Linked DNA regions of Saccharomyces cerevisiae S288C. The protein of the gene in region 1 interacts with the protein of each later gene in a biochemical or structural test. Each region holds a gene or a part of one and is shown in the gene's direction. Other genes may lie near its edges.

Evidence for each region.
Region 2: of the proteins of PHO85 (region 1) and PHO4, one has a biochemical effect on the other in vitro, tested with the Saccharomyces cerevisiae proteins (14 studies listed by BioGRID, with this or other methods).
Region 3: of the proteins of PHO85 (region 1) and PAH1, one has a biochemical effect on the other in vitro, tested with the Saccharomyces cerevisiae proteins (9 studies listed by BioGRID).
Region 4: the proteins of PHO85 (region 1) and PCL1 form a complex in vitro, tested with the Saccharomyces cerevisiae proteins (4 studies listed by BioGRID, with this or other methods).

The regions. Positions count from the first base shown.
Region 1 is NC_001148.4:490,222-496,254, reverse strand, and holds PHO85 (cyclin-dependent serine/threonine-protein kinase PHO85), read left to right. Parts: upstream 1-3,217; coding exon 3,218-3,234; intron 3,235-3,336; coding exon 3,337-4,237; downstream 4,238-6,033. Other genes in the region: ATP-dependent RNA helicase SUV3, read right to left, coding at 1-749; TRM44 (tRNA (uracil) methyltransferase), read right to left, coding at 1,009-2,712; SVL3 (Svl3p), read left to right, coding at 4,891-6,033.
Region 2 is NC_001138.5:221,927-227,813, reverse strand, and holds PHO4 (phosphate-sensing transcription factor PHO4), read left to right. Parts: upstream 1-1,855; coding exon 1,856-2,794; downstream 2,795-5,887. Other genes in the region: RSC8 (Rsc8p), read left to right, coding at 1-301; anaphase promoting complex subunit CDC26, read right to left, coding at 477-851; YFR035W-A (uncharacterized protein), read right to left, coding at 1,264-1,554; YFR035C (uncharacterized protein), read left to right, coding at 1,349-1,693; QCR6 (ubiquinol--cytochrome-c reductase subunit 6), read left to right, coding at 3,045-3,488; MIN10 (Min10p), read left to right, coding at 3,841-4,104; 60S ribosomal protein eL29 RPL29, read left to right, coding at 4,377-4,556; RRT5 (Rrt5p), read left to right, coding at 4,855-5,724. UniProt on the Saccharomyces cerevisiae protein: Transcriptional activator that regulates the expression of repressible phosphatase under phosphate starvation conditions. Binds to the upstream activating sequence (UAS) of several phosphatase encoding PHO genes.
Region 3 is NC_001145.3:587,533-594,804, reverse strand, and holds PAH1 (phosphatidate phosphatase PAH1), read left to right. Parts: upstream 1-2,176; coding exon 2,177-4,765; downstream 4,766-7,272. Other genes in the region: MME1 (Mme1p), read left to right, coding at 332-1,438; MSS11 (Mss11p), read left to right, coding at 5,255-7,272. UniProt on the Saccharomyces cerevisiae protein: Mg(2+)-dependent phosphatidate (PA) phosphatase which catalyzes the dephosphorylation of PA to yield diacylglycerol. Required for de novo lipid synthesis and formation of lipid droplets.
Region 4 is NC_001146.8:84,643-90,213, forward strand, and holds PCL1 (Pcl1p), read left to right. Parts: upstream 1-3,254; coding exon 3,255-4,094; downstream 4,095-5,571. Other genes in the region: MID1 (Mid1p), read right to left, coding at 1-1,173; RFC3 (replication factor C subunit 3), read left to right, coding at 1,576-2,598. UniProt on the Saccharomyces cerevisiae protein: G1/S-specific cyclin partner of the cyclin-dependent kinase (CDK) PHO85. Essential for the control of the cell cycle at the G1/S (start) transition.

The DNA.
Region 1 (6,033 bases):
AACGCTCTATAAGTTTTGCCTGAATTCGTGGGCCCAATGTGCATGATTATATGTCTTCTAATCTTTCTTGCCTCCGGAAACCACTCTGCTGGATTTGTTATGTCAACGTTGTGAGCGCCATCTGTATCATCTGTATTCGTCATCATGGGTAGTATCTCCTGCTCGTACACATGGTCGAAGGTCTGTTGCAGGACGTGGATAAATTTATCCAATGTAGTTATATTGTTACTCAGGCTATATTTGAGAACAGATTTCCAGACTAAATTGCTGATTTTATTGCAATTTATCAGCAACGAAATCAAATTGCCAGGAGATGAAGGATGTATGATCTCACTTACCGAAGGTACATAGGTTTTGGCTTGCAGTTTCGGATCTTTTAGTTGTTGATATATGTAATCTCTTAATTTCAACCAAGCAAGATTCTTTATTGGTACTTGCTTGGCATCCAAGGATGACAATTTATCGTTATAGATAAATTGCATCGCTTTATCAAGGTTATCTTTAAATGATGAATCCTGTAAATACACATTATTGCTTTCGGACTTGTTAAAATTAAACTGGAATATATCTAATTTTGAATGTTCATTTTTGGGTAAATTTAGGAATTTAGGTCTTTTCACAATCCAATCCTTATCATGAAATAGATCGATGCTATGCGGCTCGCTGTGGTAATATGCTTTCTTGATGGACACAAACAGTCGCAATGATCGGAGTGGAAAAAAAACTGTGCTGTATTTGACAAGTGCCATGCTAGTATACTCTATCGGCACTTAAATCTTCTTTCTTTTCATAGTTGAACCTCTTTCTTTGAAAGTATCAAGTTTCTGCATTTTGGCTTCTCATTGTCTATGCATCGGGCGAAGAAATTATTAACGCTGTTTACGATGGACCATCAATTTTTAAGTAAAAATGAAAAAATTAGATAAATTGTATAGTCTTATATGTACGTATGATATTCTAATTAGTCTATAAATGAACGCACATACAAATAATAGATGATACATCTATTTAATGGTTTCTTGGGTTTCTTTTCAATAAGGACATTGTGTTCTGAATCCACCCTTCAGCTCCACCGTCTTCCCAAATCATATCGTACACTGCTTGCGTTGGAAAATGCTTTAAGGTTGCATTTTCTACACCTATGATGGCTGCATTTCTTGTGCTTGGTATCCTTAACATCTCTTTCTCTACTTTCCAGCCTACACGAGATGAAATATATTCAACGTGATCAACCAAACCAGAGTAGGTGCTCTTACTGTTATTCTGGTTTTTGATTTCATTTGACCTAGGCGAACGTTTCCTTACGTTAAAACGAACTCTCTGGCCAGAAAAATTATGAGAGCAACAAGGTATAACCATATAAGGATGACCTAGTAATGGGATCCAGCAAGTCAACTCATCTGAGTGGTTACCTATAATAAAAGTATCTGGTGGGAACTCTGCTGTATTGACCTGCGGAGATTTTAGTAAGTCCTCACTTGAATACACGACGGTTGCGGGGGCAATCACTTCGTGCGTCACCTTGACTGGGAAAAATCTCCCATTGTGTTCCAAATGAGGTACTTGTCTTTTCAAAGCAGGATGGGGTCTTAAAAGGATAGAAGGTATTATAACTTGCTCCTTTAACGATGATTGCACTTCAGGCGGGTAGATAGACCACGATTTGCGCTTCCTTGCATCTATGCCGAGACCTTTAATACTTTCACTCAGTAAAATATAACAAAGAGCACCATTGCCGCATCCCAAATCTCTAAATTGCATTTTTGAACGGAAGTCTGGACCGTACACTTTAATCCATAATTCAATCAGGAAAGCGGCAATGGCTATGTCTTCAAAAACATGTTTTTTTGGGTCTGTAGACTCTGCCCAATTCTCCACCAGGAACTTGGAGTATTTTTTCTTCAAAACAATGTATGTGTTCTGAAAATTGACTTTATTTACCACTTGATCGTGATTGACCCTCTTTTCATAACCCTGCATCACACCCTTTGAGTGTTTGTTAGCAGTTTGTAATAACCTATAAGCGGTTCTTACAACACGCTCAGATTCATCTGTAAAGGCAGTTTTATCCTCGGGGAAGGGAATGTAGTGTACAGAAAGAACTGACTGGTGTAACAAAATGCCTACACTTTGCGTTCTTGGAATATAAAACGGACAGTCTTTCTCAGAGTTAATGTGCGGCGTATATACAATCAATGAGGTCTCCTGAAAATTAGGGTCTTTGCTATTTAGGATTAAACATGTTTGGTTTATGATAGCATCTTTGTAAAAATTCCTAGGAATGATCCTTCTTACAAATTCATGAACGGGTGACAATTTTAAACTCTCAGATGTTTCACACGACCTTATGTTTAAATCTTCAATATTTATCTTCTTGACATCTTCTTCACCGCTTTCATTACCATTATCGATCTCAAACTTTTTTAATACGGACTCGTCAAATTTTGGCTCAGACCCAGCTTCTGCAGCATGATTGATCTCTTTCAAAATATCCGCTCTTAATATGACAGTAGAGTTAATATTTGGTTCTCTAATAACGTTCATCATTGCTTGCTCGAAGTGGGACTTTGCGAATGTTACTTTCCCATCCGTTTGGTAAAGGCTTAACCATTGAGGTCCTAGAATACTTTTATCATTCACAATAAACTTGAAGCGATCTTTGTGTTGATTTTGATTGTTTTTAGAAATATGTGCACTACCGTCGCCAGTCATTGTTGAGAGAAAGGAGAAGTATCACAAGATAGCAATATAATCGGACCAAATGCGTTGTCTATCTTGCGTAATGGAAATCGCATTTTCTAAATGATATGGTTTATTTCAAAGAATAATGTCATCGGGTTTTCCAAAATGCAAAAAATGAAATTTTTAACAATGCAGAGCAAAAAAGTGAAGAATAAGTGCACTACTAAAACCAAAAAAACAGGAAGAAGGTGCAAAAACGCAAAAAGTAGTTACCATAGTCCGTCCAGACACGTTAAATGAATTGATAGACACGGAGGGATAGACAGGCCGGATGCGCTACTTCTATCTATCCTAGACCCTTTGCTTGTCCTCTGTGTGCAGTTCATTTTCCGTACAAATCACCATACACGTAGACTCGTAAGCCCGTAGCTTTCTAATTGAAAGATAACAAAGGGAATCCAGTTTTACCATATAGCGTATAATTGCAGATAAGGGATATATAGCGCGGCAAACTGGGCAAACTTGAGCAATACCAATGTCTTCTTCTTCACAGTATGTAGTTTTCTAGTCAAGTATCATTGGAAAGTAAAGAACTAGAAATGATGAATACTAACATATATACGAGAAAAAATCAACCTCGAGCTCTATGAACAGATTTAAGCAGTTAGAAAAGCTTGGCAATGGTACGTATGCCACAGTGTACAAGGGACTGAACAAAACCACAGGGGTATATGTTGCCCTGAAAGAGGTAAAACTGGATTCAGAGGAAGGTACACCCTCTACGGCCATCCGTGAGATCTCCCTAATGAAAGAATTGAAACATGAGAACATTGTTAGACTTTATGACGTTATTCACACAGAGAACAAGTTGACTTTGGTTTTTGAATTCATGGACAACGATTTAAAGAAATACATGGATTCCCGCACCGTGGGCAACACACCAAGAGGGCTAGAACTAAACTTGGTTAAATACTTCCAGTGGCAACTACTGCAAGGGCTGGCCTTTTGCCATGAAAACAAGATTCTCCACCGTGATTTAAAACCTCAAAACCTATTAATCAACAAGAGAGGCCAGTTGAAATTGGGTGATTTCGGTCTGGCCCGTGCTTTCGGTATTCCGGTCAACACATTTTCAAGCGAAGTCGTAACGTTGTGGTACCGTGCTCCTGATGTGCTAATGGGTTCTAGGACGTACTCCACATCCATTGATATATGGTCGTGTGGGTGCATTCTTGCGGAAATGATAACGGGTAAGCCTTTGTTTCCTGGCACCAACGACGAAGAACAACTGAAATTGATCTTCGACATCATGGGCACTCCTAATGAGTCCCTATGGCCCAGTGTAACAAAGTTACCCAAATACAACCCAAATATCCAGCAACGACCACCAAGAGACCTACGTCAAGTATTGCAACCACACACCAAAGAACCGCTAGACGGGAATCTCATGGATTTCTTACACGGACTCTTGCAACTTAATCCGGATATGAGGCTGAGCGCCAAGCAGGCTCTGCATCACCCTTGGTTTGCAGAGTACTACCACCACGCTTCATAACGCAGCCCGTCAGCGAAAAACCGTAGCCATGTATATATAATGATAATAATCATCTATAATACACTACTATTACTTTAGTCTCATCTTACGACAGCCTTTACGACGGCTTTTACCGCCTTAAAGGCGGACAGGCTTTGTCTTCCGGAACGGAAAAACATGAAAATTTTTTATTTTTTTTCATTCGTTTATACCGCGAGTGAAAAAAAAAAAAAAGGAAACTGGAAACCTCTCGAATAACGATCGGTGAATGCTTCCCAAGCTGTTTTCGGTCTTCGTGTTGTGTCAAGTGAGAGAGCAGAACGTAAACGCAAACACAACGTCGGTTCTTTCCGTTGGCGTTCGTTGTTTGTTTATTCTCGTTTCTTTGAACCTGTTTGTTTATTTATTTTTAAACAGTCAATTAGTGAGAGTAACACACTTCTAATCTTGGCCTTCTTATTCGTAGCCACCCAGCTATTTTTGGTCTTGATCAGAACAAAGCAAGCAAAACCAAGAACAAACAGAAAGGGGAGAAATAGTTATCGGTTCGTTCCCTGGTTTTACTTCCTTTTTTTTTTCTTTCATTTTATAACACACAACTCCAGCAGTCTGACGCTCACCAATAAGATCAATTTCGTTTAATTGCTTTGCTCGCCCTCACACACGTTATAGTTATGTCGTCTTCCTCACTTCGAGTTTTAGCTATTGGGAACAACCCGAATATCTTGTTCTACACCTCAAGGTTTCAACTGGCCAAGAATATAGACCTCTACCACGTCAACGATTCAAAATCATGTCAATTTGAAATTGAAACTGAATACTACGGCAAAGACCGGTTCGAATTGGAAAATCATTTCACCTCTATCGAGCACTTGACTGAAGCTTTGAGCTCCAAATCAAGTGAAGCCGTCTTCGACATAATCATCATGAGTGCTCCATCTTTACAGGAATTATCCTCGTTAGCGTCCAAGTTAACGTCCATAATCGATTCGAACACCAAAATTTTCTTAGAAAGCAGTGGTTTCATCCAATTGGAACCGTTTGTCAAATTATCGATGGAATCTCCGCATGTAAACGTTTTCAGTATTTTGACTGATTTGGATATTCGTCAAATCGGTCCAAACCATTTCAAACACTTTCCTAGTACTGCAAAGGAGAACACGATTTACCTCGGCGAAAGTAAGTCCAGCACTGAGAAATATTCATCAGGCGTTATAACATTATTAACCACTTTTGAAAAACTGTTTGCTAAATTGTTTTCCAACATAAAAATCAATTTGTGCAATTTCTCATCAATTGAGTTTCTATCACAACAATGGAAGCTGGCGATTTCCAGAATTTGTTTTGATCCGTTGTTAATCATGTTTGAACAAGAAAACCCAAGTGATCTAGACCAGCAGATCATTGCCAAACCTTTAATATCAGGTCTGGTAACTGAAATCATCACTGTAGCAAAAACAATGGGAGCCAGACTAAACAGTAGTCATGATAATGAAAACTCTCTTTTATCTCTATGGAAGAATTCTTATCATTCAACCAATAAGCCACCTGCATTGGTTTATCATTTCATTCATCAAACAACGCCTTTGAACATCGATATCCTGTTGTTACAAACTATTTTATTAGCCGATGACTTTGGTATCAAAACTCCGTACTTAGAATTTTTATACTCTGTTTTGTCCCAATTTGAAAGATTGAATAGTGGCAAATCTAAATGGTTTATTAGGTCAGATGAAAAAACTCAAATCTTACAAAGCTTGCAAAAATCACAAAAAAATGAATCTGCTTTACAGACTCAAATTACCTCCTTACAAGGT
Region 2 (5,887 bases), on another chromosome or scaffold:
ACTGAAATATGTGAAGGAATCTGAAAAGATGCTGAACGACCGATTATCACTGAGTAAACAGATTCTTGACCTGAACAAGTCGCTGGAGGAGTTGAATGTGTCGAAGAAACTGGTACTGATCTCGGAGCAAGTAGACTCGGGCATACAACTAGTGGAGAAGGACCAGGAGGGCGATGACGAAGACGGCAATACGGCCACAGGACATGGCGTGAAACGTGTAGGCAAGGAAGGCGAGGAAGTAGGCGAAGGCGACTCCATTGCAAAATTGCAGCCCCAGGTGTACAAACCGTGGTCATTGTAAAAAAATATATAAGAAAAAAAAAAAAAAAAAAAAAGAGAGCCTACAAAGTGTACTATTGTCATATTTTATATTTCTAATACAACGTATATAAAACTAGAGAGAAGAAATTTTATAAGTGAAAGTGAATGTGGATGCGTGCGCGTGTGCGTGTGCGTGTGCGTATGCGGATATGCTATTATTCCTCGCGGATGTAGAAGGGGTTGTGGTTGTCGTTTGCATTGGACGTCTCGTGGGCGGTATTGCTGTCGGTGGACAGATGCAAGGAATTGAGGACTCTGGTGTGCGCTACCGAGGCTGCTTTGTCGTTGTAAGATGACATGTCGTCATCTTCATCGATATCGTTATCGTTATCGTTATTGTTGTCTTCGATATTCTGCGATGTGTCCTGAAAGTCTGTATTGGAGTGCAGCGATCCGCCATTTTTTCCTTGGAAGTATTTTGTCTTCTCGATATTCAGCTGCTGCTTGAGTTTCTGCTCGTTCAGGTCATCGATCAGAGAGGTTACGTCGTCGTGACTGAGCTGCAAGGTGGTAGGGGCCCTTCTGATCATCAAGTGCGATGTTATTGTTGCTGTTTTTTTTTTCTCTTCAGACCGCTAATATCATATATACGTACATCCTAGATCCATCCATTATTCCTCTACTTTTGTGCAATGTGAAAGGACAAAGAGACAGGAAAAAGAAAAAATTATGGTGCGGCCTAAACATCGGATGTGGTGCATCTTTTAGTGCCGAGTAGCCAGAGATTAAAATGCCTTGTTGGCGCAATCGGTAGCGCGTATGACTCTTAATCATAAGGTTAGGGGTTCGAGCCCCCTACAGGGCTTATCTCTTTTTTTCTCTAACAAAAAAAAAATTCGTGTTTCTATTTTGCATATTTTCCTATATTTTCCTATATTTTTTTCTCGGCTCTTATACAGCAAAACTAGGTTCATATAAAAAAGATACGGTTATATGCATTATTTAGATCGGAAAAAGTCTCTGTCTAATGCGGTCACCTAGGGTTCGTCCTTTCAAGCGTATGTAAGACAACCATTCCTTCACACCCATGAGCGCGAGTGACAAAACAAAGCTCTGCAATAAGGGCATGAGCAGGACATCGCGAACCACAACTTTCGTAATCACACCCGCCTTCCGTGAGAGAGACGATGAGGGTGCCAATTCCCTGTGTAAAGCTTTCTTGAACACTTTCTCGAACCTCAAATCAGGTATGTTCAAATGTTTGTTGGGAGTTGGCGCCGTAGGTACGTTCATTTCTACGTTCCCACAGTTTTTCTTGCTGCCTTGCCTTCTTTGCGTACGGTGTGTATGTGTATGTCTGTGTGCAAGTATTTCCTATGCTGCAAGTGCGATTTTCTCGTTTTCTATTTTTTTTTTTTTTTGCCTCGCCTAATATGTGGTAGGCGAAAGGCTGACCCGGCCGCTCGCACGGAAATATTTGGCAAATGAGTCTTGACCATAGAAAAATGTATATAACCAGGGAAGAAGTCATGCTTCGGAAGGACCAGAAGAGAAGAGATGAGCAAAGGAGACAGAACAAGAGTAGCAGAAAGTCATGGGCCGTACAACTTCTGAGGGAATACACGGTTTTGTGGACGATCTAGAGCCCAAGAGCAGCATTCTTGATAAAGTCGGAGACTTTATCACCGTAAACACGAAACGGCATGATGGGCGCGAGGACTTCAACGAGCAAAACGACGAGCTGAACAGTCAAGAGAACCACAACAGCAGTGAGAATGGGAACGAGAATGAAAATGAACAAGACAGTCTCGCGTTGGACGACCTAGACCGCGCCTTTGAGCTGGTGGAAGGTATGGATATGGACTGGATGATGCCCTCGCATGCGCACCACTCCCCAGCTACAACTGCTACAATCAAGCCGCGGCTATTATATTCGCCGCTAATACACACGCAAAGTGCGGTTCCCGTAACCATTTCGCCGAACTTGGTCGCTACTGCTACTTCCACCACATCCGCTAACAAAGTCACTAAAAACAAGAGTAATAGTAGTCCGTATTTGAACAAGCGCAGAGGTAAACCCGGGCCGGATTCGGCCACTTCGCTGTTCGAATTGCCCGACAGCGTTATCCCAACTCCGAAACCGAAACCGAAACCAAAGCAATATCCGAAAGTTATTCTGCCGTCGAACAGCACAAGACGCGTATCACCGGTCACGGCCAAGACCAGCAGCAGCGCAGAAGGCGTGGTCGTAGCAAGTGAGTCTCCTGTAATCGCGCCGCACGGATCGAGCCATTCGCGGTCGCTGAGTAAGCGACGGTCATCGGGCGCGCTCGTGGACGATGACAAGCGCGAATCACACAAGCATGCAGAGCAAGCACGGCGTAATCGATTAGCGGTCGCGCTGCACGAACTGGCGTCTTTAATCCCCGCGGAGTGGAAACAGCAAAATGTGTCGGCCGCGCCGTCCAAAGCGACCACCGTGGAGGCGGCCTGCCGGTACATCCGTCACCTACAGCAGAACGTGAGCACGTGACCGTGCACCAATGGGAAGCACGTTCCGGGCATATCGGACTGGGGCGCGCCTCCCCTGCGCGGTGCTTGTTATAAGAGGCGCTTTGCTGGAAAGTGGCCCACACCGGGTTTTCGAGATTAGGACCTACTCAGTCTTAAGGGCAGTATTGGTTGGCGCTTATTTGCACATATTGTATACACGCACTCACATTAACAGAAGCACACATATACACTTACACCTACACACACGGATAAAGAAAAAGAAATAGAAAATGGGCATGTTGGAACTAGTTGGTGAGTACTGGGAACAACTAAAGATAACCGTTGTGCCTGTTGTGGCCGCGGCCGAAGATGACGATAACGAGCAGCATGAAGAAAAGGCAGCAGAAGGAGAAGAAAAAGAAGAAGAAAATGGGGATGAAGATGAGGATGAAGACGAAGACGAAGATGATGATGATGATGACGACGAAGATGAGGAAGAAGAGGAAGAAGTCACTGATCAGTTGGAAGATTTGAGAGAACATTTCAAGAACACGGAGGAGGGTAAGGCCCTTGTGCACCACTACGAGGAGTGTGCTGAGAGAGTCAAGATACAGCAACAACAACCCGGCTACGCGGATCTTGAACACAAGGAGGACTGTGTGGAGGAGTTTTTCCATCTACAGCACTATTTGGACACTGCCACGGCACCTAGATTATTTGACAAATTAAAGTAGTCTGTTTATCCGTCATATTCCCTATATTCATATTTATTCTGAGTCTTGTTACAATTTCTTCAAGAAACCGATCCTTATTTAACCTACTGTATTTAGAAAGTAAATAAATAAACTAAAATCAAAGCAAAAATAATTTTATACACTATTCTTATTTTTATTTTTTAATTTTTAATTTTTTTTATAAGGGAGCACAAGTATACAGACGGAAAAGGGATTAGGCTTTTTTTATGCGCTCTGTCTAGTACTGTTTTCTTTTACATCCGTACATACTCTTAGACCCATACAGCGCATGTATTCTTGTTTTCGACTTTTTTTTGGTTTTTTTTTTTTAGTTCTGTAAGGACAAAGAAAAATGGTCGCTAGCCGCGCTCGGGAAAACCAGCGATATTCTCAATGTAGGAAGTCTACCATTTTCCCTTTAGGCTTTGCCATAATCTCTGGATACATACAATTTCAGAATATTTCAATACTGCATATTTCAAGATTCAACCCATTATTTTATAACATTTTTCATTCAATATTCAAGAACCCCGGAACAACAATACAGTTAGAAAGTACGTTATATTATCATGAAGTCCCCATTTCGCCCATTGGAAATGCAGGTAGCCAAATCTGAGGTGCGCTGAGTGGCATATAGTGGAGGATATAAAGAAAAAAAGAGAGAAGGGAAAATAATGGAAAGTTACCAGTGTTTGAACTTATAGCGAACGCTCTTTCTCGAACGTTCAATTACCTTTAGCATACCCTTGTTCGAAGTTGCCCCCGCTAGCACCACTTCAGATTGGCAGTTAGCTGCCACGCTACTCCCCTCCACCGTTATGAATCATTTTTACTAACCTTTAATGACCATTCGCAATTTCTGCGTACATTCATCGTCTTCTCCAGAAAATGGCTAAGTCTAAGAACCATACCGCTCACAACCAAACCAGAAAGGCTCACAGAAACGGTATCAAGAAGCCAAAGACCTACAAGTACCCTTCTTTGAAAGGTGTTGATCCAAAGTTTAGAAGAAACCACAAGCATGCCCTACACGGCACTGCTAAGGCTTTGGCTGCTGCCAAGAAATAAACTTTTTAAGATTATAATACGTTAAAAATTTACATATTATTTTGTCTGATTTTATATAACATGTTTTATTATCTTAATTGAAGGAAAATTTATCTCAATATCCAGTACCGTTTTCTTTTTTTATTTCTTTTTTTTTTTCTTTTAATTTTCTTTTTCCTCCTTATGTGCCACAAAATGGAAGCGTCACAAATTAATAACAAAAGATAAATGATGTATAAAACAATGGTGTTGACCTTCTACTGAGTAGCAACACATAGAGAAGTATAAGGCCTCACATAAGCATACAAACAAGCCCGCAATGACAGAACAAGTTAACAATGACACTACCAGTGACACTACCACTACCATTACCACAGTTTACATTTCGAACCTGCCATTCACGGCGAGTGAGCGAGACCTACATGCCTTCCTAAACAACTATGGCGCCAGTTCAGTGTTGATTCCAACGCAGACCGTCCGCAGATTCAGCAAAAGGCACAATAGCAACCCTCGCAAACCACTAGGCATAGCATTTGCCCAGTTCGCAAACAATACTCTGGCTTTGAAGGCCATTCAAGACTTGAACGGAACCGTTTTCCAAAATCAGAAACTATTTCTAAAGTTACACGTTCCTTACGAGGCAGACTCTACTCCAGACACGGATGTAAAGAAGCCCAAAGAAAAAAATAAGGTTAAGAAGACACCAGAGACTGCCGCGGATACGGTTTACTGTCACGACCTGCCAGACGATATAACCGACAGTGAGATCCGTGAGTTGTTCCAGCTCTACTCGCCTCAAGAAATCTGGATTTACAGGTCCAAGGTGTACAGGAGAAAGTGTATTCCTTTTGCTCCACACCAAATTACTGCCGCTTTGGTCACTTTGCAATCTGAAACCCCAATTGGGGACATTTGTGACAGTGTGGCCAAGACAGCTACTTTGAGGGGCAAATCGATAATAGTGAAGCCCGCTTACGTCTCTAAGATTCAAGAAATTAAACAATTGGTCAAGGACAACTTAACCAATGCGCGCGACCCACCTCCAGCAGCATTGGCAGAGCCAGCGCCAGCGCCAGCGCCAGTAGAGCCAGCGGAGCAAGTGCAGGAAGGGCAAGACAATGCGGAAACCAATGATGTCCCACCTCCGCCTGCTTCGTCTTCCGATCGTCCAACCGTGGCTGCTACTTAGATCTTTATAAAATTGAAAAGGGGGTATAAACAGTGAGAACTTAACATAAAATACATATATTCGTTTATTGCTAAGTAAACTAAAATTGATCTATTATTTTTCTTTTCTTTTCTTTTGCGGCTGGGGGAACCCCTTTTAAGACAAAATAAGACTTTTTTCACCC
Region 3 (7,272 bases), on another chromosome or scaffold:
GCATGCTAGCGCGATTACTAAACACCGAAAACTGCTAATTTCTCGTCTTCGAGAACTCCTCAACTATAATGAAACAGCAAGCGGTCTCAAAAGTCTTTGGCAATAGCAGCGCCTCCTACACTATCTTTGCATGCAATAGAAGGTATCACATTCCTATTTTTCTTGCGATTGAACTCTAACTTGACATCTCTAGGACCCTACAACGATAGCGACTTCTTACATTGTGTTCATTAATTTGAAAAAACATCAAAGCAAGCCGAAAACAAACGCTGAGTATTCTAACGAAGCACGCATAATAATCTTCACTTCCAACCGACTGGTATAAAAGATAATGAACTCATGGAACCTGAGTTCTTCAATACCGATAATACATACGCCTCATGACCATCCCCCGACATCAGAAGGAACTCCAGATCAACCAAATAATAACCGAAAAGATGATAAACTGCACAAAAAAAGAGGCGATTCAGATGAGGACTTAAGCCCTATATGGCATTGTGTCGTCTCCGGTGGGATTGGTGGAAAAATAGGAGATTCTGCGATGCATTCATTGGATACTGTTAAGACAAGACAACAGGGCGCACCCAATGTCAAAAAATACAGGAACATGATCTCTGCATATCGTACCATTTGGCTAGAAGAAGGCGTGAGAAGGGGGCTATACGGCGGTTACATGGCTGCCATGTTAGGCTCCTTCCCGTCAGCGGCAATCTTCTTTGGGACCTATGAATATACTAAGAGAACAATGATAGAAGATTGGCAGATTAACGATACCATCACACATTTGAGCGCTGGATTTCTTGGCGATTTTATCTCCAGTTTTGTTTATGTTCCATCAGAGGTCCTAAAGACAAGGCTACAATTGCAAGGAAGGTTCAATAATCCTTTCTTTCAATCTGGCTATAATTATTCGAATTTAAGAAATGCCATAAAGACAGTTATAAAAGAAGAAGGGTTTCGCTCACTATTTTTTGGATACAAAGCCACTTTAGCCAGAGATTTGCCATTTAGTGCATTGCAGTTTGCCTTCTACGAAAAGTTTAGGCAATTGGCTTTCAAGATTGAACAGAAAGATGGTAGGGATGGTGAGTTGTCTATACCTAATGAAATATTGACTGGTGCCTGTGCAGGTGGACTGGCGGGAATCATTACCACACCAATGGATGTTGTTAAGACTAGAGTCCAAACTCAACAGCCGCCCAGCCAAAGCAACAAATCATACTCAGTAACACATCCACATGTAACAAACGGCAGACCGGCAGCACTTTCCAACTCGATTTCGCTCAGCCTTCGGACGGTCTACCAATCTGAAGGTGTGTTAGGTTTCTTTAGTGGCGTTGGCCCTAGATTCGTCTGGACAAGTGTTCAGAGCAGTATAATGTTGCTTCTGTATCAAATGACCCTACGCGGATTAAGTAACGCATTTCCAACGGACTAAGAGCCTGATTTCTGGCTCATCTAACTCTCTAGAGGATAATTTTATGTGATAAAACTTTTCCTACAAGCGGCTACAATAAAGACAGTACAAGGGACCTCACCCTATTCGCCATCACTGCACATCACAGTGGGTCTTGTACTTATCATTTCACATACATAGATATAGGTTCTTCCGAATAAGTTTTGTATATAGTCATTTACGGCAAGAATACTCATCTAAGTTTAATACGCATTTCTCTCTTCGTTCGCAGTTCCTAACACTGAGCGTTCTTGTTTGGAGGGCTCGTTTAAAAAAAAGTCTAACAAATGTGACAGATTTGCTTGAACAGGGTCCAAACTCATCTTGTATATCATAACACTACATCACTGGGAGACAAAATCGAAGTGCCCACGTGCTGCTCATTCTCTAAACGGTCTGTCGCGGGCCCTTTTCGTCCTTCGGTTTCCCTCCCTTTAGACAATGGGCTCTCTTTTCTCTATTATCTATCTCTTTTTCTCGGCTTTTCCGGCCAGCGTTGAAAGCAGCGCACGGTGAGGGTAGAAGGAAGAGCAAGGACAAGTGAAGAGTAGGCCATCGTGGGGGCTTGTGTTTATAAAGAAAATACATTCAACAATTTAGTAAAACGTGTTCAAGAAGTGTTAATCAGACCAATTGGACACTACACCTTCGTAATCACAGTTTTACCTTCTAAGAAACATACAGGGAAGAAATTACTGAAGATAGACACATCGGTCGATTATGCAGTACGTAGGCAGAGCTCTTGGGTCTGTGTCTAAAACATGGTCTTCTATCAATCCGGCTACGCTATCAGGTGCTATAGATGTCATTGTAGTGGAGCATCCAGACGGAAGGCTATCATGTTCTCCCTTTCATGTGAGGTTCGGCAAATTTCAAATTCTAAAGCCATCTCAAAAGAAAGTCCAAGTGTTTATAAATGAGAAACTGAGTAATATGCCAATGAAACTGAGTGATTCTGGAGAAGCCTATTTCGTTTTCGAGATGGGTGACCAGGTCACTGATGTCCCTGACGAATTGCTTGTGTCGCCCGTGATGAGCGCCACATCAAGCCCCCCTCAATCACCTGAAACATCCATCTTAGAAGGAGGAACCGAGGGTGAAGGTGAAGGTGAAAATGAAAATAAGAAGAAGGAAAAGAAAGTGCTAGAGGAACCAGATTTTTTAGATATCAATGACACTGGAGATTCAGGCAGTAAAAATAGTGAAACTACAGGGTCGCTTTCTCCTACTGAATCCTCTACAACGACACCACCAGATTCAGTTGAAGAGAGGAAGCTTGTTGAGCAGCGTACAAAGAACTTTCAGCAAAAACTAAACAAAAAACTCACTGAAATCCATATACCCAGTAAACTTGATAACAATGGCGACTTACTACTAGACACTGAAGGTTACAAGCCAAACAAGAATATGATGCATGACACAGACATACAACTGAAGCAGTTGTTAAAGGACGAATTCGGTAATGATTCAGATATTTCCAGTTTTATCAAGGAGGACAAAAATGGCAACATCAAGATCGTAAATCCTTACGAGCACCTTACTGATTTATCTCCTCCAGGTACGCCTCCAACAATGGCCACAAGCGGATCAGTTTTAGGCTTAGATGCAATGGAATCAGGAAGTACTTTGAATTCGTTATCTTCTTCACCTTCTGGTTCCGATACTGAGGACGAAACATCATTTAGCAAAGAACAAAGCAGTAAAAGTGAAAAAACTAGCAAGAAAGGAACAGCAGGGAGCGGTGAGACCGAGAAAAGATACATACGAACGATAAGATTGACTAATGACCAGTTAAAGTGCCTAAATTTAACTTATGGTGAAAATGATCTGAAATTTTCCGTAGATCACGGAAAAGCTATTGTTACGTCAAAATTATTCGTTTGGAGGTGGGATGTTCCAATTGTTATCAGTGATATTGATGGCACCATCACAAAATCGGACGCTTTAGGCCATGTTCTGGCAATGATAGGAAAAGACTGGACGCACTTGGGTGTAGCCAAGTTATTTAGCGAGATCTCCAGGAATGGCTATAATATACTCTATCTAACTGCAAGAAGTGCTGGACAAGCTGATTCCACGAGGAGTTATTTGCGATCAATTGAACAGAATGGCAGCAAACTACCAAATGGGCCTGTGATTTTATCACCCGATAGAACGATGGCTGCGTTAAGGCGGGAAGTAATACTAAAAAAACCTGAAGTCTTTAAAATCGCGTGTCTAAACGACATAAGATCCTTGTATTTTGAAGACAGTGATAACGAAGTGGATACAGAGGAAAAATCAACACCATTTTTTGCCGGCTTTGGTAATAGGATTACTGATGCTTTATCTTACAGAACTGTGGGGATACCTAGTTCAAGAATTTTCACAATAAATACAGAGGGTGAGGTTCATATGGAATTATTGGAGTTAGCAGGTTACAGAAGCTCCTATATTCATATCAATGAGCTTGTCGATCATTTCTTTCCACCAGTCAGCCTTGATAGTGTCGATCTAAGAACTAATACTTCCATGGTTCCTGGCTCCCCCCCTAATAGAACGTTGGATAACTTTGACTCAGAAATTACTTCAGGTCGCAAAACGCTATTTAGAGGCAATCAGGAAGAGAAATTCACAGACGTAAATTTTTGGAGAGACCCGTTAGTCGACATCGACAACTTATCGGATATTAGCAATGATGATTCTGATAACATCGATGAAGATACTGACGTATCACAACAAAGCAACATTAGTAGAAATAGGGCAAATTCAGTCAAAACCGCCAAGGTCACTAAAGCCCCGCAAAGAAATGTGAGCGGCAGCACAAATAACAACGAAGTTTTAGCCGCTTCGTCTGATGTAGAAAATGCGTCTGACCTGGTGAGTTCCCATAGTAGCTCAGGATCCACGCCCAATAAATCTACAATGTCCAAAGGGGACATTGGAAAACAAATATATTTGGAGCTAGGTTCTCCACTTGCATCGCCAAAACTAAGATATTTAGACGATATGGATGATGAAGACTCCAATTACAATAGAACTAAATCAAGGAGAGCATCTTCTGCAGCCGCGACTAGTATCGATAAAGAGTTCAAAAAGCTCTCTGTGTCAAAGGCCGGCGCTCCAACAAGAATTGTTTCAAAGATCAACGTTTCAAATGACGTACATTCACTTGGGAATTCAGATACCGAATCACGAAGGGAGCAAAGTGTTAATGAAACAGGGCGCAATCAGCTACCCCACAACTCAATGGACGATAAAGATTTGGATTCAAGAGTAAGCGATGAATTCGATGACGATGAATTCGACGAAGATGAATTCGAAGATTAAAGATTCTTGTAGCCGAATATTATTTATAACGATCCATACTGCATATTAAGTAAAATTATGAAGTACTAAGTAACAATTTTTCAATTTTATTTAAGAAAAGAGAAGGAAAAAAAAAAGAAGAAAATTTTTTGATAGAAGAAAAAGGTAAACGATGATTGTTACGTACCAAGTGTTCTTCTGAGCTATTTGGTAATTACATACTTCTTCGAAATGTCAAGGTAAATACTTTTCTATACGCACACGAAACTCGCTTGCTGCAACAGGTATTACGTCAGGTGAAAAAAGCGGCCAAGAGGCAATGCCGAAATACAATGCGTGTATAACAGGAAGAGGAGGGGTATAATAAAATCACCATAGTAGAAAAGACCAGAAAGATTTCTATTGCAATCCTGTGTGACTCTTTTGGTTTTTCCCTTTGGTATCTCCCGGTTCTTTTGTCAATTTTTCGTTAAACTGCAGTGAAATAAGAAAAAGGTGCATGATAAAGATATGGATAACACGACCAATATTAATACAAATGAGCGCTCTAGTAACACGGATTTTAGCTCAGCTCCCAATATCAAAGGTTTGAATAGCCATACTCAGTTGCAGTTTGATGCGGATTCTCGAGTTTTCGTTTCGGATGTAATGGCTAAGAACTCTAAGCAATTATTGTACGCCCATATTTATAACTATTTAATCAAAAACAATTACTGGAACTCTGCCGCAAAATTTTTAAGCGAAGCTGACCTTCCTTTATCTAGAATAAACGGATCTGCTTCGGGTGGGAAAACTAGCTTGAACGCCAGCCTGAAGCAGGGATTAATGGATATTGCATCTAAGGGTGACATTGTTAGTGAAGATGGGCTATTACCTTCGAAAATGCTGATGGACGCTAATGACACGTTTTTACTGGAATGGTGGGAAATTTTTCAATCATTGTTCAATGGAGACCTAGAATCTGGGTACCAACAGGATCATAATCCTTTAAGAGAGAGAATAATACCAATTTTGCCAGCTAATTCTAAATCTAATATGCCTTCCCATTTCTCTAATCTCCCACCAAATGTGATTCCACCAACTCAAAATAGTTTTCCAGTTTCAGAGGAGAGTTTTAGGCCCAATGGTGACGGAAGTAACTTTAATTTAAACGATCCAACCAATCGAAACGTCTCCGAAAGATTTCTATCGAGAACTTCCGGTGTCTACGACAAACAGAATAGCGCTAATTTTGCACCTGATACTGCTATAAACAGTGATATTGCTGGGCAGCAGTACGCAACTATAAATCTACATAAACACTTCAATGATTTGCAATCACCAGCACAGCCCCAGCAATCATCTCAACAGCAGATCCAGCAGCCTCAGCATCAACCCCAGCATCAACCGCAACAGCAACAGCAACAGCAACAACAACAACAACAACAGCAACAGCAACAGCAACAGCAACAGCAGCAACAGCAACAGCAACAGCAACAACATCAACAGCAGCAACAGACACCGTATCCTATTGTCAACCCACAAATGGTCCCTCATATTCCATCGGAAAATTCTCATTCAACCGGACTTATGCCTTCAGTGCCTCCTACAAATCAACAATTTAATGCACAAACCCAATCTTCAATGTTTTCAGACCAGCAGCGCTTCTTTCAATATCAATTACACCACCAAAATCAAGGACAGGCGCCATCTTTTCAGCAAAGCCAATCTGGCAGGTTTGATGACATGAACGCTATGAAAATGTTTTTTCAGCAGCAAGCACTACAGCAAAATTCACTACAGCAAAATCTTGGAAATCAAAATTATCAATCTAATACACGTAACAATACTGCGGAAGAAACTACGCCCACAAATGACAATAACGCAAATGGCAATAGTTTATTGCAAGAACACATACGAGCCCGCTTCAATAAGATGAAAACAATTCCTCAACAAATGAAAAATCAAAGCACTGTCGCAAATCCGGTTGTTAGTGATATAACATCTCAACAGCAGTACATGCATATGATGATGCAAAGAATGGCGGCTAACCAGCAATTACAAAATAGTGCCTTTCCTCCAGACACTAATCGTATAGCGCCAGCTAACAACACTATGCCATTACAACCAGGAAATATGGGGTCTCCTGTCATTGAAAATCCAGGTATGAGGCAGACTAATCCATCCGGACAAAACCCTATGATCAATATGCAGCCCTTATATCAAAATGTTTCTTCCGCAATGCATGCGTTCGCTCCGCAACAACAATTTCATCTACCACAACATTATAAAACCAATACTTCAGTACCACAAAATGATTCTACCTCCGTCTTTCCTTTGCCTAACAATAACAATAACAATAACAACAACAACAATAATAATAATAATAATAATAGTAATAATAGTAATAATAATAATAATAATAATAATAATAATAATAATAGTAATAATACACCCACAGTATCACAACCATCATCAAAATGTACTTCTAGCTCCAGCACAACTCCTAATATAACTACAACAATTCAACCCAAGCGGAAACAGAGAGT
Region 4 (5,571 bases), on another chromosome or scaffold:
AGTTTTATTACCCACAGAAAATGAGGATGTAGGAACAGAGTAAGCGACGTCACTGCAGAAGTCCAAACCAAAGATCAAAGAGCAGACATCGGTACTTCTTGTGGTAAAATAAACATGTGAAAATAAAATGCCGCCCACACTTGACAACCCATCACCATTACTGATTTTCTTTGTCAGGTACGCTACATAAGTTGTTGAGGCATTCAGTCCTGTCACGTAAAACATTTCTGTCACGCTACCACCATATTCTGTAATTTTTTTTTGAATCGCCAAGTCAGTACGCTCTAAAGGATTTGTACTATTTGACGTAACTGTTGCATTTGATGTATTTTGGGAAGACACTAAATATGGTCCATTTTTCACAGCACAAAGAGATAAATTATAGTTTTGGTTTAGTTGAACAGAATCTTCGTACGAGTAAACATACAGATCGTACAAGGATGGATCATATATTGAATAATTGTGATAAACTTTGGCGTCTGCGGTGACATTCCCCGTTGATAGTAATGCAGAATTCATATCAGTGTCCAGGACCTCTACCCAAGGCCTTACATCCCACTGAAAAACCAAATCGTTCTCAGAGATACTCAGTCTATATTCCCAATTTTCAGAGGCGTCGGAACTGGACAGAGGTTGCTCCGTAGTGGAATTCACTAGCTCAGCGACCACATAAAGATTTGAATACGTGGAGGTAGCGTTCGAGCTAGAAGACTGCACTGGACTGATGGCTAATGCTTGGATGTAGCCATCCTGAAAAACTGCACTTTGACCTATATTTGGGTTCTCTAAAACCGTTTCATTAAAAGAGTAGTATATTGTTAAATCCACATCTGATCTATTCATGGGCATTTGGCATATATTGCCGCTAATAAACATTAACACTTCATACGTGGGAGCAAACCCATAACCGGAGGCTTCTGCGTCAATGGTAAATACAAAACTGTCTTTTTTGCCCGCTGTTATGTTAGATAAGATCGGGGTCCATTCATAAATGCTATCCGAATTGATGATTGTTTGTTGACCAGTAGCCATAACGTTTTTCTCCCATCTATTTAGGCTGGGAAACTTTAAGGAAATATTCTTATTTGCGAAAGGATTGAAGTCTTGGAATAAACCGTGAATAGAAGTGGTAAATAGGCAGTAAACCACGAATAGTGCTTGCCACACTATCATCCTTAGAAATAATACTGCCGCTGGACAGAAATTGTAGTGTTACGGGTTTTACTGCAATTCAGTATGGCAGTTAAGCCAGTCAAGTATTTGAGAAATAGCCAAAACGGTACGTCAGCCGGTCGAAATTATTAGGGAAATTTTCCGCAACCAATGGCTCAGTTTCAGTAACCTGTTCTTGAGAAAACAACACGTTTACTTGTAGAGTTACTATTGCGGTCCGATGGCAGCGAAACTATATCATTATTATATTATGTATGGCTTCTCAATTTTGATCTTTTTTTTTTTTGGTCAGTACGCGATTTTGAAAGAAATGGAAAGAAGCTATAAAGAGCACAGGATAAATATCTTTTCAAAGCTTGAATAATTTTATAAAAGGTGTAGGAACAGGCCCGACATACAAGAATGTCGACAAGTACAGAGAAGAGGAGCAAAGAAAACCTTCCATGGGTTGAAAAATACAGACCCGAAACGTTGGACGAAGTGTACGGACAAAATGAGGTGATCACCACAGTTCGTAAATTTGTAGATGAAGGTAAATTGCCACATCTTCTATTCTATGGGCCTCCAGGTACCGGTAAAACTTCTACAATTGTTGCTTTGGCACGTGAGATATATGGTAAGAATTACTCGAACATGGTTTTGGAGCTGAATGCATCCGATGACAGAGGTATTGATGTGGTGAGGAATCAAATTAAAGACTTTGCCTCTACAAGACAAATCTTCTCTAAAGGGTTCAAGTTAATTATACTGGATGAAGCAGATGCCATGACCAATGCCGCACAAAATGCGTTGAGAAGAGTTATAGAACGGTACACCAAGAATACGCGGTTCTGTGTATTGGCCAATTATGCGCATAAACTTACACCTGCGTTATTGAGTAGGTGCACGAGATTCAGATTTCAGCCCTTGCCCCAAGAGGCCATTGAGCGTCGGATAGCCAACGTCTTGGTGCATGAGAAGCTGAAGTTGTCTCCTAATGCGGAGAAGGCCTTAATAGAACTTTCTAATGGGGATATGAGACGTGTGTTAAACGTTTTGCAGTCTTGCAAAGCTACTTTAGACAATCCCGACGAGGATGAGATCAGTGACGACGTTATCTATGAATGCTGTGGGGCACCCAGACCAAGTGACTTAAAGGCAGTATTGAAGTCGATACTGGAGGACGATTGGGGTACCGCCCACTACACACTTAATAAGGTACGCAGTGCCAAGGGTCTCGCGTTGATCGACCTAATCGAGGGCATAGTGAAGATACTGGAAGACTACGAACTTCAAAATGAGGAAACAAGAGTGCATTTGCTTACCAAACTGGCCGATATAGAGTACTCGATATCCAAGGGTGGCAACGACCAGATTCAGGGCAGCGCGGTCATTGGCGCCATCAAGGCCAGCTTCGAGAACGAAACTGTTAAAGCCAACGTATAATCGACGCAAATATGTATAGATACAATATGTACAGAACAACTGCATTGTGCAATATAACAACATAACACAACGCCCAGAACGAAATAAAAAAAATAAAAGAAATAGATGAAAGCATTTTCAATTTGCATACCGGAAACCGTAAATCAATTGGCGTCTAGCTAACAACTGAGAATGCGAATCGCCAAATTGTTACAGAAAGTAGCATTCCGTTACGTGATCTGTACTTTAACCTCTTGGACGTAAAGAATGGCAGAACTCTGGCTCTAGTGTTCTGCGAATGCCAGATCGGGAAATATTTCCCAAAAGGGCAACAGCGGCACGAACAAGAATTTCGTGTTAAAAATCGCGTCCGGCGCGAAATTTTTCGCGGAGGCATGCGACGCAAAAGCGACTCGAAATGTCGGGAGCCAAATGAGGCTACAAGGCTGTGGGCAGATTTTGGCGTTATTATGGAGAATAAAAGGAATGGTAGCTTCCATATAGCGATAGGAAAACATATATAAGGTCAATAGGCCTACATGGTAATGGGATTGATAAGCTTGTCCTTAACTCTTGTGTCTTGGAATTACTATTGCGTACATCAGCAATCATCCATTGTCAAGAACAAAAACGATAACAAAAACAATCAATTATACAAATAACAGTAAAGTAATAAAATGTGTGAATACAGCAAGGCTCTTCATATTCTGCTCAAGTCGCCAGTAACGGATGACATAATAAAATTCTTAACAGACACAACATTGAGGGTTGTTCCTTCAAGCAACTACCCCACGCCTCCCGGTTCTCCAGGAGAGAAACACCTCACAAGGCTGCCATCGCTAATGACTTTTATCACTAGATTGGTCAGATACACCAACGTCTACACACCCACTCTGCTCACCGCTGCGTGCTATTTGAACAAATTAAAGCGTATTCTGCCCAGGGACGCTACTGGTCTCCCCTCGACCATCCATCGCATTTTCTTGGCCTGTTTGATACTGAGTGCTAAGTTTCACAATGACTCTTCTCCTTTAAACAAGCACTGGGCTAGGTACACCGATGGTCTCTTTACACTAGAGGATATCAACCTTATGGAAAGGCAGTTGTTACAGCTGTTGAACTGGGACCTCAGGGTGAACACAGAAGATTTGATCCTAGATCTGCAGCCTCTATTAGAGCCCATCAAGCAAGACTTGGCAAGATCCAGCGACCAAAGGAAGAGAATTAACATGATGATGTCCATGAACAGAAGGACTTGTGCTGGCACGAGTCCTATCAGATCAAACAACAGATTCAAACTCTACGAAAAACAGAGAAACGTGTCGATAGCATCCGATTTAAGTTCTGCTACTCTAGTCGACAGTTGTAATGATCTAAGAAGGCTAAAAGATGTAACCAACATAGCGAACAACACAGTCGCTAACACGAATTACGTCAGGACGGTAGAGAAATGGAACGACAATGTCAACAGGCAAAGTTGGGATCTGGAACAGATCATGAGTCAACATGGGTTTTAATGTGGTAAACAAGATGGCCCTTACGGGGCTCTTAGTGGGAGAAAGATTTTTAATAGAGCATAATTAACGGATACATAATATATTATAAATTTAAATAATCAAGGATACCTAATAATAATAACAATCAACTGAACACAACATTAAAAATGGTATTTGTTATTGTATGTTAAGCCCTAAGTGATTGTGCCGTTATAACTTCCATTCGGGTGATACCTGCAATATGAGGAAGAAAAAAGATAAATTTTTTCTTCTTAAAGTATAAAAGGCGGACATATTTGATTTAAATGCAGAAGTTTTCTCTCAGTGGTTTATGTTTTACATATGATAGAAAAAATGAAGCAATAGCAAAGTATCGTAGTGCGAACCGGTCTCGTAACTTTGATAAGTTTATCAAAGGCGTTAACATTTTGTTTCGTAATAGTACCTTAACACATGACGAAGATGAAAATTAAACATGAATTCAAGGAAAAATGGTAAATGACGAGAAAAAAGCTGTGCACCAGTCTGAACATGGATGCCACAAGTACTCAGGTGTCCTATGAAGCATTAAGTATACCCAAATTTCTGATCCATTTTCCTTTATTTTCTTTTTTTTTTTTCTCTCACATCTGTGACTGTATTATGAGCAAACTGTTTACGTTGAACGGAATCGATATGTAAATTAAATCTTTTGAAATATGTAGGACAGTGCTTGTATAGGTCTGTTAAGTAGATTATAGAATGTACGCCTTTTTTCTGGGCGTGAAATAGATCAGAAATCCTGTTAGGTTGCCACTGGTCCATTTCAGTGTTGCTCATCCAATCAATCATGTATTTACATGCCTGGAGTGGCCTATTCTATGTATTAACAGCCTTTGCAAGACGCGACATTGTTCTTTCCGATATGGCTCGGAGTAGACTAAATATGCTACTTATAGTTTTTCTTGCGTATACCATTGTCTTATAGTTTTTGCACACATTAATGTTTAAAATTGAAACTACGAAGCAAAACAATAAAAAAAACAAACAAAACTTAAAAATAAACAAAAGACGCTCGAAACCAAGTGCATTTATTGAATGTTTTTGGGAATGCAAGTAGCAATACTATTGTAAAAGTACTACTATTTCCCTGTATCATACGCTTTTACTACTATTCCTCACATAAAGCGAGATGCTTACAGAATGCATAAGAGAGAGAAGAAAACCCTATTACGCCCACTTGTCTATATTAGATTACTGTCCCTATTTATATCATCATTGCAAAACGTGAGCACCTCATTAGACGTAGATTCTTGCATAAGTATTACTAGCAGGAGAGGAAAAACTCCACCCACACACCTCAACATGCTGAGAATTTTGCTGCGAGCAGCAAGAGGCAAAATCCAAATTTAAAGTAATTTACGCATAGAAGACATTGTAAAGGGATTGCAAAGACGTAGAGTACGCAAGTTAGAAACCGTTCATCTTTTAAAACTCCCAAGTTTTGACAAATTTGCGA